Oryzias latipes: one gene and its partners. The protein of the gene in region 1 interacts with the protein of each later gene in a pairwise test. Links are inferred from orthologs where the notes say so. Each region holds a gene or a part of one and is shown on either strand. Other genes may lie near its edges.

Region 1 (6,346 bases):
AAATGACCCCACCCTTACATTGACGTGTTATCCCTACCATGAGAAATGTAGATAAAGGTGGAGAGGATTTCATGTAAACATTGAAAAAAAAGGTTCAGCTCACTGTCTTGTGGGGTCCAGATGACCCCACTTCCAACTGGGGTCACCTGGACCCCACAAGACGGTGAGCTGTACAAGCCAATATGTCTAGTAGGGTCCAGATGACCCCACTCCCAACGTTAACGTGCTCCCAAGGCATGTTAACGTTGGGAGTGGGGTCATCTGGACCCTACTAGATAGCACAAGGGTTATAGATATATATTCAGCATATATCAGATGTATTTGAGTAGTATAAATCTAAAAACATTGCAGTATTGCACAGAAGTTGTACTTGTAGGTATTTTAAGGTGCGTAAAGGACGATCAGGAACAGTATTTTCAGGTCCAAATGTATTCGTGAGGAAGGTTTTTCCATCAGGAGCAAAGGTGTCATGGATGGAACTACTGCTCTCCGCTTGTAAACGACATATCTGTCCAGCAAATCCTGCTGCTCCGCCTAATCTGGATGAGAGTCATGTAAGGTCACTTTAATCATGTATGAACTGACGGCTTCGAAAAGAGCAAACCTGCCCCAATGCACTTCTGCTGATGCTTCTGGTCATGCGATCACTTTTCAGCTCCTCAGGAGTCGACTCTTATTTATTGTGTTATTCATCGTGTTTGTGTGGATCCGTGATAAATCTGAAATAAAAGGCTGATGGTTTTTCTGGATCCTAACTCAATCCAAGGAGAGGAAGAGGTGATGAAGCGCTGAAGGAGTTTTATCTGTGTTTTTCTACACACACCTTTATTTTCTTCAACACAATTGTTGGGTTATTCGTGCTGGGAGTTGAGGTAATAAACAACACGGCAGGAGTGGGTTGATGATCTCAAAGCAGCTGTGACCACAGTCACCAAGAAAACCATTGGTGATACTTCTTGCTGCAATCCTGATTATAGTTAAACAAGTAAAAGAAAGAGACAAAGAGCAGAGAGGAGGCGTAAAAACAGTGAATGGAGATCCGTCCTCGCCCCCTCCAGCAGATCAACTGCAGCCTTCTCTCTGTTGGCTTTACTTTGCATTTTATGGCAATCTGCTTTAGTGTTATATGTCTGTTCTGGAGGAAATTCCCAATATGTTCTGCAGGTACAATAGAGGACAATCTGTCATCTGTAGATTTATTTGAACAGTGAGAGATAGAAAATCACAAAGCACATCAAACAAACGTATATACATTTATTTAGATTTCATCAAGGGACTCCAGTGTTTGATCCCCTAGCAACCATTAAGAGTTCTGGTTCACACAGACCAGTTAGACTCTCCTCTTCAACCTGTCACCTGAATTGAAGACGCCTGTAGAAAAGACACCTGTCCAGAGTCCATCAGACATGGAAAAGACTAAAGAGTTTTCATTGGATCTAAGGGAGAAGATTGTAGAACTGATGGACAACAAAACCATCAGCAAGAAGCTGGGGGTTACCATGACAATTGTTGGTGCAATTCTGCCAAAACACAAGAACATAATCATCAGTGGACCTTTAGGTCTGGGGCTCCAAACCAGATCTGTCCTGGTGGAAACGGTTTCCATGATCATGAGAACAGAGAGAAATTGGCCTAAAACAACACGGCAGGAGTGGGCTGATGATCTGAAAGCAGCTGTGACCACAGTCACCAAGAAAACCATTGGTGATACTTTATGCTGCAATGGTTTGACATCTAGTAGAGAGTGCTAAGTCCCCCTGCTGAGGAAGGCAGATGTGCCGGCCCACCTGAAGTGTGTCAGGGAACACCTTAATGACTGGACAGTGATTGGAAGAAGGTGCTGTGGTCAGATTAGACCAAACAACGAGCTCTTTGGCATCTACCGACTCAAGCCGTCTTGTTTGGAGGAAGAGAAATGCTGCCTTTGACCCCAAGAACACCATCCCCACTGTCAAGCATGGAGGTGGAAGCATTATGCTGTGGGGAGCTTTTTCTGCACAGGGCAACTTCCCCGTGTGGATGGGAGGATGTGCTTACCTCCAAATGTGTGGTGGATGGGTGGCTCTTAACAGGACCTTGACCCAAAACATACAGCCAAGACAACCAAGGCTGAAGAAGCAGATCGTGGTCATGGAGCGGTCCAGCCAGTCTCTGGACCTCAGTCCTGTAGAAAACCTGTGGAGAGAACTGAAGCTCAGCTTTGCCAAGCAACAGCCACCAAATCGGAATGATTTAGAAGACATTTGAATCGGTTAGTTCAAAAGGGGCCCAAGTCCACAATTTTTCAAAATAGACAACAAGACCGGCAACACTTCTTTCCTCCACTGTAGGTCTTCAGTTTTTGGTTTGTTGCTGGGCAGCAGATTTTTCTGGAGCCTCCCTGACAGCTTCAGCGCTTCTCCCACGCTCCTCTGCTGCACCTGAAAGAGGAGGAACCTGAGCTTCTCTGGACCGGAGCTGCTTTTGAAGGTGTTGATGAAAGCTTGCTTTCATGTGCGCTCAGCCTCCATCCTCCTGCACACATGCACACACACACACACACACACCCACACACACACACACACACACACACACACACACACACTGACATCTTCAGAGGACACTCCAACAAGTTCTCAGTGGTGGCGCCTCCTCCTTCATCTTCTGTGATGAGCACACAAGAAAAGGGAGGTGGTCACTGTGTGTGTGTGTGTGTGTGTTGGCATCAGTCACACAGGCTGTTTGCACTCAAGGTGCAGGCCTGGAGCCACCCTCCCTCCCTCCCTCTGCTGAGCCTCCCCCCACCTCCTTCTGTCCATTCCCTCCATCATCTGTCCTGCTGCTCCCTCATCCATTACAGGGCAGAACTGCTCCCATTTGCGCAGACAGAGAGATGCGGAGGGAGAGCGGGGCGGAGGGTGAAGCAGAGGGAGGCGGCAGGAGGAGGAGGAGGGGGGGGTGGTCGTACGACACAAAGGAGAGGGAGGAAAACAGACGAGCGCAGAGGGAGCAGGCTGTGGATGCTGATGTCGTTAACGATGGAGCGTTAGAATCCGGAGCGGTGATGGCGCGCGCGATAGCTGCTGGGAGCAGACTCATTTGAGGAGGGGGGCTGCTCCTTGGTGTGCAAAGAGGGAGGAGGGAGAGAGGAGGAGGAGGAGGAGGATGGGCCTCGAACAGACACTTGCAATGTCGCTGCAAAAATTGGATTAAAGCAGTATGGTAACGTTTCTGATTGAATATTTTGTTGTCGTCGCTGTGCTGCGTGTGTGTCGTCCTCGTGCGTCCACATCCACGCGTGTTGACATCCATCTCTCGTGTCACAGTGTGTCTCCAGGAAGCCACAGACAGACCACGTCCTGTTGTTTTCTGCCATCTCCATCTTCATCTCAGCTCGGCTCTCCTCCGCCGCGCCGTCCGTGTGCTTTTACACTACAAACTTCAGGCATGTTATGACACCCACCCCCCACCCCCCAGCTCTGTGTTTGGTATCTGGGCCAATGCTGACACCCCCCCCCCCCCCTACTGTCCCATGCTGCAAGCCTCATCTTAGCTTCTCACTTTCCCTCCCAAGATCAGGACGGGACTAATCTGCGCGCGCGGCGCTCATCTGGAATCTGCCCCGACACCATTCTAACCCGCTTTGAAGAGCCAACGCGCGCGTGCTCGCTCCTCTCACACAGGCGCGCAGCTCCAGCGCAAAAATAGACGTGTCGGTGTCATGCGTCCGCTGGCGCGCTCCAGCTCTGAGGCGTCAGATTGCGGTGTGTTGGCTTCAGGCGGGGGAGTCAAACCAGACCCCCCCCCCCCCCCCCATGCAGCTGCACCCAGCATTCAGAGCAGGGAATCCCCCACATGGGGGGCACTGCAGGTCCCGGAGGATTGTCCTCAGAGAAGGACAGCTCTGATCTGGTAGATCTCCATCCATCCATGCATTTGATAAGAAAAGTCATCTTCAGTTTTTAGGGTAAGGCTCTGAGGCTCTGCTGAAGGAAACTAGAATTATGCTTCACATAATTAATAAAGATGGCCGCTGCACTCAGCTCTCTGCTGCCTGAGCTGTTAGAGCTCCTCCATGAGTCAGGCCGCTTCAGTTCATGCTCAGCTCTTTCACTTTGTTTTTCACGTGTTTGCTGCTACTGAGATGCTCCGAAAACCCCTAAAAAATCCCCTTAAAGCCTTCAAGTCTTTATTGTTGTTGCTAACAGCACAAGAGGCAGGAAATGCGTGTTTAATAGATGTTAAATCAACAATTTGATTGTTTCTTGGCAAAACCTGTTTATTACCCTTTAAATGAAGCCAAGGAGCAATCCAGGCAACACAGACAGAATCTGACAAACACACCTTTACCTGTCCTCTCTGCCACCTCATTCGGATTGATTGGAAAGCCTTGGAATTTCCTCTTGGTGGAACAAGAATCCAAAACTATTGAAACGCCTTATGTCATTACTTCAAATTCGTGATCATTTTCTTTCGTGTTAGTTTCATTTTACTCTTCAAAATAATTCAAATTTTCCTTCCATGTTGTGCCTTAAATATTAAATAACTTCTGTCTGCTCATATTTGAAAAGCAGGGGTCAGCAACCTGTGGTCCACAGGTGGCTTTTCTATTCCTCCCTTGTGGCTCTAGGGACGTCATTTATGTTTCGATTTTTTACATGTCAGAAAACTGAGCAAAATGATAACCACGTTCTCTTGTCTTCTGCTGCACAACACTGTCGTTGCTGTTCAGACACCAAGTTCCTGAAGTACACAATTGCAGTTACTTATTCATATATTTTTGATATTTTGATTCTATACCAATGTTGTCATGTCTATAAATGATAGGAAAAGGAGAAAAAGGAGGTCAGAATAATAGAAAAAATCCTCTTTGACTCGATTATTTAGCATTTTTTATTCTGTAAAATGTGCTGCAGCAGATCTGTGTCTTATTTGACACCATGTGTATTTTATTTTTGAGAAGGAACTTGTTTTAAGTGTTGTATACAAAATATTACAATATTTTTATCACTATAATATTAATGATTGTAAATATTTAAAAGCTACATTTCATAAATGTAAATGGCTGAATGGTTACCAATTCATAAATTATGTATATTTATTTTAAACGATGAGGTAGGAGTTTTTGGCTCTCGCTGGACTTTACTCTGTAAGAAACTGGACCAAATGAATTTTTTAGCGTTAACCCTTGTGCTATCCTAGTCCCTTTAACGTTGGGAGTTGGGTCATCTAGACCCACTAGACAGTGCTCTGAACCTTTTTTCTTCAATGATTTGTGATCTTCACTGGTGTCCATGGATTACATGAAATCTTTCCACCTTTATCCACCTTTGTCATGGTAGAGAGAACATGTCAATGTAAGGGTGGGGTCATCTAAGATAGCACAAGGGTTAAGGGATGCAGGCCTCTGGTTTAAAGGAAGATTGGATAAAATACAACCTAAGTGTTTGGTTTTCAGCCTGACCTTTGTGGCTCTGACCTGTGCTCATGTCTCCTCAGCTGGACAAGAGTGAGGTTTCGACCCTGGGGCTACCATCCACCAGCAGCCATGGTGGCTCTGACACCAACATCAGCACGGATGGAGCGGGGGCCACAGCGGCTGCGGTTGTGGCGAGTGGAGCTGAGGGCTCAGCGGCTGGTGAGCCGCCGCGGACACGTGCAGCTCTGGAGCACCTGCAGCAGAAGATCCTGAAGGTCACAGAACAGATCCGGGTGGAGCAGGAGGCTCGCGATGACAACGTGGCGGAGTACCTGAAGCTGGCCCATAACGCGGACAAACAGCAGGCCTCCAGAATCAAGCAGGTGTTTGAAAAGAAGAACCAGAAGTCTGCACAGTCCATTGCACACTTGCACAAGAAACTTGAGCACTATCACAAGAAGTTAAAGGAGATTGAGCAGGTAAGATGGACCATTTTTACACAGATTACACTCACAGGCCACTTTATTAGCTCTGGGTTTGACCCCTTTGACCTTCAGAACTGCCTTAATCCTTGGTGGCATAGATTCAACAAGGTTCTGGAAACATTCCTCAGAGAGTTTGGTCCATAATGTCATGACAGCATCACACAGTTGCTGCAGATTTGTCAGCTACACATGGAGACTCATCAGACCAGATGACGTTCTTCTAATCTTCTATTGTCCAGTTTTGGTGAGTCTGAGTGAATTGTAGCCTCAGTTTCCTGTTCTTAGCTGACAGGAGTGGTACCTGGTGTGGTCTTCTGCTGCTGTAGTCCATCTGCCTCCAAGCTGGACATGTGCGTTCAGAGATGCTCTTCTGCAGACCTCAATTGGAACCAGTGGTTCTTTGAGTTTCTGTTGTCTTTCTATCAGCTGGAACCAGTCTGGTCATTCTCCTCTGACCTCTGGC
Region 2 (6,394 bases), on another chromosome or scaffold:
TGTACAGGCTAGCCAGACAGAGAGACAGAGATGGGAAGGACGTGCAACAGATAAGGGTGATTAAGGACAGAGATGGAAAGGTGCTAACAACCCAAGAGAGTGTACAGAAAAGATGGAAGGAGTATTTTGAGGAGCTGATGAACGAGGAAAATGACAGGGAAAGAAGGGAGGAAGATGTGGTTGTTGTGGAGCAGGAAGTAGCAGAGATTGGAAAGGATGAGGTTAGGAAGGCTCTGAAAAGGATGAAGAGCGGAAAGGCCGTTGGTCCTGATGACGTACCTGTGGAGGTATGGAAGTGCCTAGGAGAGACAGCAGTGGAATTTCTAACAAGGTTGTTCAATAGGATTTTAGAGAGTGAGAAGATGCCTGAGGAATGGAGGAGAAGCGTTCTGGTCCCAATCTTTAAGAACAAGGGTGACACGCAGAACTGCAGCAACTATAGAGGAATAAAGTTGATGAGCCACACAATGAAGCTGTGGGAAAGAGTAGTGGAAGCCAGGCTTAGGAAGAAGGTGGAGATTTGTGAGCAGCAGTATGGTTTCATGCCCCGTAAGAGCACCACTGATGCCATTTTTGCTTTGAGAATGTTGATGGAAAAGTACAGAGAAGGTCAGAAGGAGCTGCATTGTGTGTTCGTAGATTTAGAGAAGGCGTATGACAGGGTGCCGAGGGAGGAGCTGTGGTACTGTATGAGGTCGTCTGGAGTGGCAGAAAAGTATGTCAGAGTAGTTCAGGACATGTATGAGAGAAGTATGACGGTGGTGAGATGTGCTGTAGGTCAGACAGAGGAGTTCAAGGTGGAGGTGGGACTACACCAAGGATCAGCTTTGAGTCCTTTTTTGTTTGCTATGCTGATGGACAGGCTGACAGACGAGGTAAGACAGGAATCTCCCTGGACAATGATGTTTGCGGATGACATTGTAATTTGCAGTGAGAGTAGAGAGCAGGTGGAGGAACAGCTAGAGAGGTGGAGGTTTGCTCTGGAAAGAAGAGGTATGAAGGTCAGTCGTAGTAAGACAGAATACATGTGTCTGAACGAGAGGGATCAAGGTAGAAGCATTAGGTTACAGGGGACTGAGGTGAAGAAGGTGCAGGAGTTTAAGTACTTGGGGTCAACAGTTCAGTGTGATGGGGATTGTGGAAAAGAGGTGAAGAGGCGAGTGCAGGCAGGTTGGAGCGGTTGGAGGAAAGTGTCAGGAGTGTTGTGTGACAGAAGAGTGCCAGCAAGACTCAAAGGAAAGGTGTACAAGACAGTGGTGAGACCAGCTCTGCTCTATGGGTTAGAGACGGTAGCAGTGAGACAGAGACAAGAGGCTGATTTGGAGGTAGCAGAGATGAAGATGTTGAGGTTCTCCTTAGGAGTGACCAGGTTAGACAGGATAAGGAACGAGTACATCAGAGGGACGGCTCATGTTGCCTGTGTCAGCGACAAAGTCAGAGAAGCCAGACTGAGATGGTTTGGACATGTTCAGAGGAGGGATAGTGGATATATTGGTAGAAGGATGTTGGAGATGGAGCTGCCTGGCAGGAGGGCAAGAGGACGGCCAAAGAGGAGATACATGGATGTCTTAACAGAGGACATGAAGTTGGCTAATGTTAGGGTAGAAGATGTCCATGATAGAGTGAGGTGGAAAAGGATGATTCGCTGTGGCGACCCCTGATGGGAAAAGCCGAAAGAGAAAGAAGAAGAAAAGCAAAATAAAAAAATAATTGAAAAGCAAATATTTAATATTTTCATTTGCAACTTAAAAGTTGAAAGTTTTGTGTGCAATGTTGTGGCAGAAATATCGCTCCAAAGTTATCCCAACCCTGTTAAACTCACCGTTGGACTGATTAGCACCCAGGTGACAGTAATATACCCAAGAAGATCCGGTAATGTTTCAAAATAAAATGTCTATCAAAATAAAAGATGGTGATGATAAAAGACTCGTAATAAAACTAACTGAAACCTGCCAAATTGACGCGAAAACCGCCACATCAACTATTCTTCACAAAATCAAACCCACCAAATTGGGTGGAAAACCGCATAATCCGGCAACACTGCTGGTTCCTTCCTTCCTTGTTTGGCTCCTGTGACACACCAACACAGTAGCTGCATCGGTCACGTGACTTCTTCTGAAGCGATCCACGCACCTACACGGGGTTTCACTTTATGAGCTCGACACGTGAGCCGAAGCGTCAGTGTTGTCGGACCATCATCAGAACAAACAAATCCGCTTTTGTGACTAGTTTCTCGGATGCTTTCTGTTGCTCGAGCTCTATTGAACCCGAGTTTTCGTCTCCACCTATCTTTCCCAAAACTAAAATGTTTGTCACTAAAATGTTAAAATCGCGGCTGTAATGGAGTCCAAACAGAGACAGGTGGCTTGTGACACAAATATTAATTTGAAACAAAAGAAACTTCTTAAACGGCCGTGGCAGCCACAAGGAATGAGCAGGCGGCAGCGCGAGGTGTGAGCATGCGCGAGGCTGGACCGCCCGCGTGCGGTCTGCTGGACTGCAGGCGTTCCTTTCTGTTGCCATAACAACGCGTACACTGCAGCTTCCCACCGGTCCAAAGCTTGCCGCGTTTCGATTGCTACATTGATCCTCAAATTGGGGGGAAACTGAACGTTCATAATTCTGCTGGTCCTTTCTAGTCTGATTCTGCTTTTCCCAGTAAGGTGGCGGTTTATCTCTAAAGAAACACTGAGAAAGACTCCAATGGAACAAAGCCAGATTCTAAAAGAATGTGTAAAACAAGAAGAGGTGGATGAAACAGCAAACCCTCAACTCAGCAAAGTTGGAGCTTTGGAGCCGCCAGCTCTGGGACATGAGGAAGAACCGGTTCTTGCAGGTAAGGCCCCCTGCTGGTGGGGGCAGACACACACCTTAGTTGAGTGACAGTACCATTTTTCTGAAGTGCTGTCTTTGGATTTTTTTTGTGTGTGTGTGCAATTTATTAACAGTGAACTTTCCCACTGAAATGATGCTATGTTTAACGTGTGATGATGTTCAGAGGAGCGGGCTGAGCAATGCTGATGCACTAAGGCCGTCACCACGGCAGCCCATTGCTCATGTTTTAAATAGTTTGCTTTTTGTGAAAAACGATTTAAGCTTAAATCTCTACTTAAATCTAATTATAATGTTATTCAGTGTTGATTATCAGAAATGAATGGACTTCACAGAAGCAACCATCTGACACAATCAGGTCTCCACAGACACTTGTTATTCCTTACATAGTAGTTACTAGTTATGAATTAAAAAGGAAATTAACATGATTAATATTATTATATATATATAGTCCTGCTAGCTGCTGATTAGTTCAATCAGATGTCTCCACACTGATTGACTGAACAAACCTGGTCCAGGTAATCAGCAGCAAGCAGTGCAGGGAGAGCTGGAAAACAGGCAGGGGGGTAGATCTCCAGAACCGGGGATGAGCAGTCCTGGGTTACAGAAACCTTTCCAATAAAAATCATTCAGAAAATAAGAAAGTTATGGCATTTTAAGTGATCACATGTTGGGTATAATTTTCTTCTTGAAAAATAAAGGAAAACTATTGAGCCCTTCAGGTGCCAGTGGTTAAAAAGAAAAAAAATCTGATAAACCGTGAGCACAGATTAGTAAACTGTGCGCTGGAATTAGATTGTGGCCTGAAAAAACATAATCTGTTTTTGTGCAGCAAAAGTGCTTTTTTATCTGTATGCCCCCCCCCCCCCCCCATTTTTCTCTGAAGAGGACACATTTTCTTCTTTTTACATAGCATTAAACTCATCTCTCTGTACCACAGTCCATGGTCACTTCGTTATTTCTCCCGATTTCAAGACTAGCAGGACGTGCGGGGAAAACTTTGACCCATTAGAATTTTTTCATTATTTCCTTGTTAAAGACTTAAGTGTCTTTAAATTGCTCCAACAATAACAATAACTGCTCAATGTTATTATGAATCGCATGGGTATTCTAACAAAAAGCTGTGAAACAAATATTTCAAATCTTTTTTTCTTGTACAGTATTGAGCAAAAGGGAAACAAGACAGAAATAATTGAACAGACAAATAAATATTAAAAATAGTTCAGAATAATCATGATTTCTTTTCCACTTAACCTAATTGTGATAGCGTCATTCTGTACCTTAAAGTTTGCCAGCTTGTTAATTATTTACACTGTGTATCTTTTACTAATGCACTTTCAGATTGTGCTGGAGTGGAGTTTGTGGTGGTGAAGAATGAGCATTCCTACAAGCAGAAGGCTTTTCTTGGTGGATACCGCCACCAGTTGACAGGAACCGAGTACCACCATGCTGCTGTCCAAACCCTCCCCCGCAAAAAACCTGACAGAGGCATGACTGTCTTTAGTCGGGACTCACAGGTAAAGAACAGAACTTAAATAATAGGGATCTAAAGATTAATATAAACAATGATTAAACACCATCATTTGTGGTTGATGATACGGTTCATAGTCAATATTGGTTCATTTGGAACGATTCGATTTGATCCAAATCACTGACCTAAAGTGGATCCAGAACATCTTTATCCAAAACCTCCACCAGTGTGACTCAGACAGAACATCCTGCCACTGAACAGTGAAGTTTTCCAGATTCTTGGATTTCTTCCAGATCATCAAGTATAGATTAAATCTGTGTCCAAACAAACAAGTAAACTAGAATGAATGTCAAATCCATTCACATGTTAGTGTCCTAAAGTTCAGTCCACGTTTTTCCACCTCCAAAGAATTCAAAGGGAACATTATCAGAACATTCTAGACACTGGATGGTCACATGACTTTGCTAAATTCAAAGTGTTTCTACACGTGATGGCTTGATGTCTGGGGTTTTATTCCCAGGGGTGCAATGAGCTTCATCCAGTGAAAGTCCTTGGGCAAACCCTTCGGGTTACTGCCTAACCATGTAGCCACAAGGCGTGTGCCGGTCCCTAGCCCGGAAAAAATATAAAGATGTGTCAGTAAGGGCATCCGGCGTAAAAATCTCTGCCAAACCACCTGTGCGAATCAGTAAAAGCTGATTGAATGGCAAACCCTGAAGGGATATGGCAAAGGGGGAACAAAAACAAGGACTGTAATGATGCCTTGATTCTTTTTTGCTGCCATCAAGTGTTTTGCAAAGGATGAGGGCACTTGGTATTTTTTGATAAAGTAAAGGACCTTACCACCAGAACAAACTGTATTTATGGATTTTTGAGACATAGTTGTACATAAATAAATTGTTGGATGGTTTCTGAAATTGAGTATGTAAAATAAACTATAGAAAACTAGAATTAGTAAAGACTGTAAATGCAGTAACATCATATTTGCTTTGACAAATGTATAAATCACTTCACTGTTTTCTACCATACATGTCAAGGCAGAGAAACACATTAGACTTTAGTCATTGCTTCTGTTTTGTTCTTTTAACAGACGGTTCGATTGAAATCTCACAACCAGCAGTGTCTAGTCAACACTTCCACCCAGATGGCTGGTATCGGCTGTTATGTCTCATGTATGAAAGACAAGCTGGTCACTCCTGGGAAATACATCACTGCTGATGAATGGCATGACAGAAAGCTGAGGGCCGTAAGTGTTTTTGTGAATAACCAGGTTTTGTTTTTGTTGTGCATGTAAGAAATGTTTTAAAGAAATGATAATAAAAATGTAAAAATTACCTGATAAGTGTTCTTCATACTGTAAACCTGTGGGCACACAGTCAAATACATCTGAAAGAGTGAAATATTTGCCAATATCTTAATTTGCATTAAGGGTTGAACTATTTATATTTCTAATGCAGTTGTGCTTAAAAATAGTATTTTGGGAGCAAGTTAAATTAGTTGTGACCACAATGTGTAACCCTCAGTTACAGCCATGCTTGACAAACATAAGGTTTTTTGTACCCTCACCCCCCACCCCGCAGTCATGATGTTGAGATTCTGACATGTCTTTGGCATGTCCTAACTGTAAACTCAAAATTATGTCTGTCTCGGAGCTCACACCATACTTAATAACTCATTAGCATACTTAACGTACTAAACCTAGATATTAACATCATGTATTACATAATCCTCCATATATTTACATTGCACAGGTCATCTTTTTGCAATCACTTGCTCGTCGTTGGCTAGCCCAAAAAGCAGTGGACCAGCTGAGAAATGAACAAAGCCGGCAGTTGGCTTGGCTTGAAATGCAAGAAAGGAGAAGGGAGAGTGAAAAGGAGGATCAGCAGAGGGATCTGTACCAACGCCGTATGAACCCTAAAAGGAGGGAGGACTTCAACCTGCTGTACAAGGCTTTGGAGAGTAAGCCCATTGTCCTATTTCTACTCTTGAGTGTCTGATGAATGATTCACAGATTATGCTATATCATGTTCATTTCAGGAAACTGCATAGATGCAAGACATGCAAGAAAGGGCGACATGCAAAAATCTT
Region 3 (6,299 bases), on another chromosome or scaffold:
GATGAGTCCACTGTCATCTGAAGATAAAAACGTTGATGGCTTATCCAAAACATACATTAAATTACATTTATTTGGCAAAAATTGCTCTGATGCAATGCATTGTGGTCTATATTCACCAATCTAGTGAGCATGGATTTCTATGATTCTGGATTGTAGATTCAGACAAACTAGAACATGGAAACCGCCCCGTTAGAGTGATTAGTAAAGGAATTCAGACACAACCTGAGTCTGTGATGAAAGAAAAGCTGCGTTTGTCTAAAAGTAGCAGAAGAATCTGTGTTAAAGCGAAACCAAGTCAGAGTTCATGAAGTCAGACTGAACTTTCAGCTGAATGTTGGTTCATGAGTGAGGATGGGGGGGGGGGGGGGTAGCTCTTCTAGCTTCTATCTGCTCTTTCCTTCAGGGAGCAGCTTCACATGTTCTCTTGTGGCGTGGGGCGTGCGCCGTGGTCCAGCACGTTACCTGGTTCATGGAGCCGGGCCCGACCGCCACCACGGTGGCCTGCAGCACCTTCCCCTGAGACTTCTCCGGCAGCATGATGCCCCCCTTGGTGACGGTTTCCGCCATGAGACGCTCCACCAGCACGCGGTCGAACAGAGGGAGGAACTTCCTGAAGGCCTGCAGGTGAGACAGACAGACGTGCACGCTCAGACGGGGTCACAGAGTTCAAACGGAAGACCGGCTCTGAAGAGAGGTCAGACTCTGCCAGAACAGCGGGTCGGCTGAGACCCACAGAGCATCACAGACAAAGTTCTGCTTTGGCCTTCTGCACGGCGTGAAGCCATCAGCAGGCAGCTGCCACAGTCCCCGCCCCCTTACTGATGACACCACAGAAGGTCGCCTGCAGCATCAGCTGTTCTGTGGAGAACAGCTTAAGGTCTAGAACAGCTGAAGGGGTCCAGGTCAGTGGAAACGCCGTCCTTCAGCCGGATGCTGCCGTTGGATGAGCCCGTTTACCCTGAGAGCAGGCAGGCCGAGGACACCCCCCCCCCCAGATCCTGAGCAAACAGCCTCTCCGGCTCATTCCAGTCTCCACAGGCTCCACCCATGCTGCCCGACCCAAACACGGAGGAGCCGGCTCATCAACCGTCCCGCCCCCACAGCAGAACTGCATGAAGACGCAATGAAACCTTCAAACCCGAGTCTGAATCCGACCTACGTCAGAGGGAAACTCAGAGAGAAGAGGTCCGACTTTAAGACACCCCCCGACCAGACTAAAACTGACCCGAACCGAGAGGAGAACCGGGCCGAACCACCCAAAAACCACAGCAGGCATCCACGGCATCCAAACCCGACAGCAGGTGGCGCCCTGGAGCAGCACCTGGACCCCAGGAAGAGGTCCCACAGGCCGAGGACCCTCCAGAGCAGGGGCCCCAAATCCAGGCCTGGAGGGCCGGTGTCCTACATGTTCTAACCAACCTGCCGCTCAAGCTCCTTATTGGCTAAACACACCTGACCAGGTGACCAGCAGGACACGTGCACGCACATCCGTGTACACGCACTACTGTCCTTAAGATATTCACGGTGTTGATCCCGCAGTCTGAAAAAAGAAGCACGTGGGCTGCTGTGGTCTTTGACTCGCTTCTAACCCGATCCACTCCAGGCTAACCCGATGACGCGGTTCAGCAGCTGGTCGGTGTCTTATGGAAGTGTCCTTGAGCAAGGCACGCCGCGCCGAACGCCGTCCCATAAGCTGAATGGGGCGCAGTGCACGGAGCTGGTTTAACGGAACCGGCGGATAGCACACCGGACGCGTGACCTTGCGCGTGGTGGTCATCATCGTTAGCCCAATCACTACCCCCCCCCCCCCCCCCCCGCGCGCTAACAGAGACAGACGTTAAATGCTGTAAACAACCAGAAATCCCATCATTTTCTCTCTCCTCACCATTTTTGAGCGCTTGCGCAGAGCTGCACGTCTTCACTGAGAGAGCTTCGGACCGTCTGCACTTTGTCTCCACGTGAGGGAAGCCTCCAGATCGCGCATGCGCAGTAACGAGGCGCTGACAGAAAGCTCCAGAACAGCGGGGCTGCAGGCAGACCCGTACCTACAGTTCCGGTCTATCTAGGCCGCATTTGTCATTGAAACGGTGATTTCGTTTCAAAGTCACTCTCTACGGGCTCGCGCAATGTTGCACAATGTGACCTTTGACCTCTTTTTTTTCCTCCAATGGGGTACGGAAAATTCTGGAATCGTAGCCCAGGAACCAGCATAAGTGTGCGTTGCTGCGTTTCTCTGTTAGTTGTAACAAAGTTCATGTGAGAATAAATGATCAGAACATTCTGCGCAGGTATGAATAAACGTCTCCATGAAGATTAAAGACGGGGATAACAACTTGAACGTAAAAGAGAAGTTTTATTGAAGTAGTTATGCGTCATACAGAGTTCTGGGCGGGGCCGTACATAACCCGGATGTGATTCCCCACGTGCGGTATTCTCCGTTAGATCACTCGTGCAGCGCGTGCGGCAGATCGCAGCGGTTCCCTGTCAGGTAAGAACCGACCGTCCGAACCCGCAGCAGGGATCCGTCTCTGCGCGCGCGGCACTTTGTCCTGTCGGTGCGTGGAGAACCGAACAGAACCGAGCTCGGGTTTGTCTGAACAGCCGGTTCTGGCGTATGCGGACCGGTTCGTCCTGATGATTCCGGGACCGCGGCAGGGACGTGTCAAATACTCAGTTACCCCCGTGTAATCCCGTTACTCTGGAGCGGCTGAGGGAATCCGTCCAGGGAGCCGGCACGAGCTCTAACGTTTGACCTTGTGACGTACGACCGGAGGAGCTCACGTGGGGAACCGGGGGCTGTGAGCAGACTGCGGGGCATGTGGGGCTTTAATAACCCCTCAGACTGGTTCTCACCAGGCGTTACCCGGTAGGACCAGGTTCTAGTGCCCCCAGGAGGGGTTAAGAATCCTTTATTCATGAAAAGCTTCATTTGAATGAAATAAGCTGCAATTATTATTCCGAAAACTGTAACAGCCGCTGTTGTTCTGGAAACTAAAGTTTATCTTTTGGTATTTCGGTCATTTTAAAAGGCGTGTTTGAGGAAATGGTAGCAGATCTGTCACCGTAGGAATGAATGAGAGGCAGCTTGGAGGGTCCCATCAGTTATACTCCACCAATCAGAAGTTCGGGCCCGAGGCCGTGTCCTTGACTCCGCCCCCTTACCTCCTCCCGTCTGGACGCATGGAAGCTGCGGGAATGTCGGGCTGGGTTCTGGATGCTCCATTGGAGCTGATGATGGTGGAGCGTTTCTGGCTTTAACCTGACCGTCTACAGCATGTGTCAACCTCAAGGCCCGGGGGCCAAATGTGGCCCTCCGTGTCATTTTATGTGGCCCACGAGAACATAAAGGTGTTTAATTTCTTGGAATAAAAAATAAACATTGGTGTGTATTTATTCATATCTGGGGGGAATTGGATTTAAATGTTGGATTGGTCATCTATACATCAGGACTTAAACACTGTCCACATAACCTAACCTGACAGAATCAAATGTAAAAGGATTTGTGTTAGAATAACAAGCAAACATATGTTTTCTATGCAGCTGGAATTGTCAATTTAAAAAGTTATAATAAATAAATAATGAGTTATTTATCATTAAGGAGTAGTTGCATTTATTTTCATTACATTTAGTTACATGTATAAGTTACATCTGGCCCTTTGAGGACAGACACTATGCTGATGTGGCCCTCAGTGAAAATGAGTGTGACCCGCTTGTTACAGTTTGAAATGCTGCTGAACCAAGATCAGGCCGACTGAGGAGAAACAAGTCAAAGTCAGCTTTGTTGTCAAATATGCTGCAGACACAAGACAGACATGCAGCACAGATGAAGTTACTTTCCTCTCCCCCCACAATTTAAGCAGGATGTTCTGAACTTGGTCACAAATTCCCAGTTTCAGATGATGTTTCTGGTAAAAATTAACTGCTTGCTTGTGCTCAGTCTGCATCTTAAGGATGCTTAGATGCTGCGTGTCACGTGGGTTTGCTTAAGTTCCCGCTCACTGTAATTCCACTGGTGACCACCGGGCGGTACTGCTGGTCCTGTAGGATCCTCAATGGCTTCACTGCTTTTCTCCACAGAGATGTTTCGTTTAGCGACAGTCATGAGGCAGGTGAGGCCCGTGAGCCGGGCGCTGGCCCCTCATCTCACACGGGCCTACGCCAAGGACGTGAAGTTCGGGGCGGACGCTCGGGCGCTCATGCTGCAGGGGGTGGACCTGTTGGCGGATGCTGTGGCCGTCACCATGGGCCCAAAGGTAACAAACCCGCTGACGGGTGGATTAGGTTTGGAAACAGAACAGGAAAGGTGTGAAAGTGCTCCAGTCGAATGTTTTAAGCATCGTCTTCCCGGTCCAGGGACGCACTGTCATCATCGAGCAGAGCTGGGGCAGCCCCAAGGTCACCAAGGACGGCGTGACGGTGGCCAAGAGCATCGATCTGAAGGACAAGTACAAGAACATCGGTGCCAGGCTGGTGCAGGATGTGGCAAACAACACCAACGAGGAGGCTGGCGATGGCACCACCACCGCCACGGTGCTGGCCAGAGCCATCGCCAAGGAGGGCTTCGACAACATCAGCAAAGGTGCAAACCCTGTGGAGATCCGCCGCGGCGTCATGATGGCGGTGGAGGCGGTCATCGGCGAGCTGCAGAGACTCTCCAAGCCCGTCACCACCCCAGAGGAGATCGCACAGGTCTGGGAAGGGCATCCGGTTGTCCTGACGCCGTCTCCACACGGTCACCCTCACTCATCACGCGTGTCGTTTCAGGTCGCAACCATCTCAGCCAATGGAGACACGGAGATCGGAAACATCATCTCCAACGCAATGAAGAAAGTGGGCCGCAAAGGAGTCATCACCGTGAAGGTGAGGGGGAGGGGCTGCGAGGAGTCCACCCACCGGAGTGGAGAACATCCTCCGGTTCTGGATGACCGTTATGTGGCAAATGATGGCAGCACGTTCTGCGTCCATACATGGGGGGTTGGACCAAAGCCTCTGAGAGGACTTCCTGTGTCCTCATTGTCCAACCTTTGACGGCGTCTAGAAGCTTTCTGGTTAACATTCATTCCTTCTGCCGCAGGACGGGAAAACGCTGCAGGACGAGCTGGAGATCATCGAGGGCATGAAGTTTGACCGCGGTTACATCTCTCCCTACTTCATCAACACCGCCAAAGGTAAGGCTCCTCCCCCCAGCCTCACCTGGAAGCAGCTCCCCGCTGACCCCGGTCTCCCCACTGCCACCAGGTCAGAAGTGTGAGTTCCAGGACGCCTACCTGCTGCTGAGCGAGAAGAAGATCTCCAGCGTGCAGAGCATCGTTCCCGCTCTGGAAATCGCCAACCAGCACCGTAAGCCGCTGGTGATCGTGGCGGAGGACGTGGACGGGGAGGCGCTGAGCACCCTGGTCCTAAACAGGTAGGGTTGGTCCGGATCGGGAAGGCTCGGTCCGGTTCTGAGGATCCTAAACGTTCTGTGGTCCGCAGGCTAAAGGTGGGGCTTCAGGTGGTTGCGGTCAAAGCTCCAGGCTTCGGGGACAACAGGAAAAACCAGCTGAAGGACATGGCTGTGGCCACCGGGGGCACTGTAGGTCACCTCTAACCGAGTGGGGGCGGGGGTCAGTCAAACAGCGGGAGCTTCTCCACACGTCTGTCCTCCCGCCCGCAGGTGTTTGGGGACGAGGCCCTGGGTCTAGCCCTGGAGGACATCCAGGCTCATGACTTTGGGAAGGTGGGGGAAGTCCAGATCACCAAAGACGACACCCTGCTGCTGAGGGGCGGGGGCAACCCGGCTGATGTGGAGAAGCGGGCGGCGGAGATCGCCGAGCAGCTGGAGAGCACCACCAGCGACTACGAGAAGGAAAAGCTGAACGAGAGGCTGGCCAAGCTGTCGGACGGCGTGGCCGTGCTGAAGGTGGGGCTCTGCGCCGCGGTGGGTCGTCCTCTCCTGTGGGGGGCCGACTTCTGACACTTTGGCCTTTTGTCAGGTGGGAGGAACATCAGATGTAGAAGTGAACGAGAAAAAGGACCGGGTGACGGACGCTCTCAACGCCACCCGGGCAGCAGTGGAGGAAGGGATCGTCCCTGGGGGGGGCTGTGCCCTGCTGCGCTGCATCCCCTTCCTGGACACTCTCAAAGCGGCCAACAGCGACCAGAAGATCGGTGAGTGACAGCTGCCCTCCCCCACGCCGCACCGCCGCCATGTCTGGAGCTAACCTCTGGTCTGGCGCAGGCGTGGACATCATCAGGCGGTCCCTCCGGATTCCCGCCATGACCATCGCCAAGAACGCCGGCGTGGACGGGTCCCTGGT

The links.
Region 2: the proteins of tmcc2 (region 1) and iqub interact in a two-hybrid assay, tested with the Homo sapiens proteins (2 studies listed by BioGRID and IntAct). The two-hybrid records come from large-scale screens. The link is inferred for Oryzias latipes from reciprocal best matches to the Homo sapiens genes TMCC2 and IQUB.
Region 3: the proteins of tmcc2 (region 1) and hspd1 interact in a two-hybrid assay, tested with the Homo sapiens proteins (2 studies listed by BioGRID). The two-hybrid records come from large-scale screens. The link is inferred for Oryzias latipes from reciprocal best matches to the Homo sapiens genes TMCC2 and HSPD1.

Annotation. Positions count from the first base shown.
Region 1 is NC_019863.2:2,302,390-2,308,735, reverse strand, and holds the start of tmcc2 (transmembrane and coiled-coil domains protein 2), read left to right. Parts: upstream 1-2,897; 5' UTR 2,898-3,198; coding exon 3,199-3,201; intron 3,202-5,478; coding exon 5,479-5,877; intron 5,878-6,346.
Region 2 is NC_019864.2:6,249,408-6,255,801, forward strand, and holds the start of iqub (IQ and ubiquitin-like domain-containing protein), read left to right. Parts: upstream 1-2,471; 5' UTR 2,472-2,703; coding exon 2,704-2,836; intron 2,837-4,173; coding exon 4,174-4,349; intron 4,350-5,393; coding exon 5,394-5,549; intron 5,550-6,054; coding exon 6,055-6,265; intron 6,266-6,394. UniProt on the Homo sapiens protein: Adapter protein that anchors the radial spoke 1 (RS1) complex to the A microtubule of outer doublet microtubules in axonemes. The triple radial spokes (RS1, RS2 and RS3) are required to modulate beating of the sperm flagellum.
Region 3 is NC_019879.2:153,374-159,672, forward strand, and holds the start of hspd1 (60 kDa heat shock protein, mitochondrial), read left to right. Parts: upstream 1-2,376; 5' UTR 2,377-2,488; intron 2,489-4,077; 5' UTR 4,078-4,079; coding exon 4,080-4,253; intron 4,254-4,353; coding exon 4,354-4,689; intron 4,690-4,764; coding exon 4,765-4,860; intron 4,861-5,074; coding exon 5,075-5,168; intron 5,169-5,238; coding exon 5,239-5,407; intron 5,408-5,475; coding exon 5,476-5,575; intron 5,576-5,656; coding exon 5,657-5,902; intron 5,903-5,975; coding exon 5,976-6,150; intron 6,151-6,220; coding exon 6,221-6,299. UniProt on the Homo sapiens protein: Chaperonin implicated in mitochondrial protein import and macromolecular assembly. Together with Hsp10, facilitates the correct folding of imported proteins.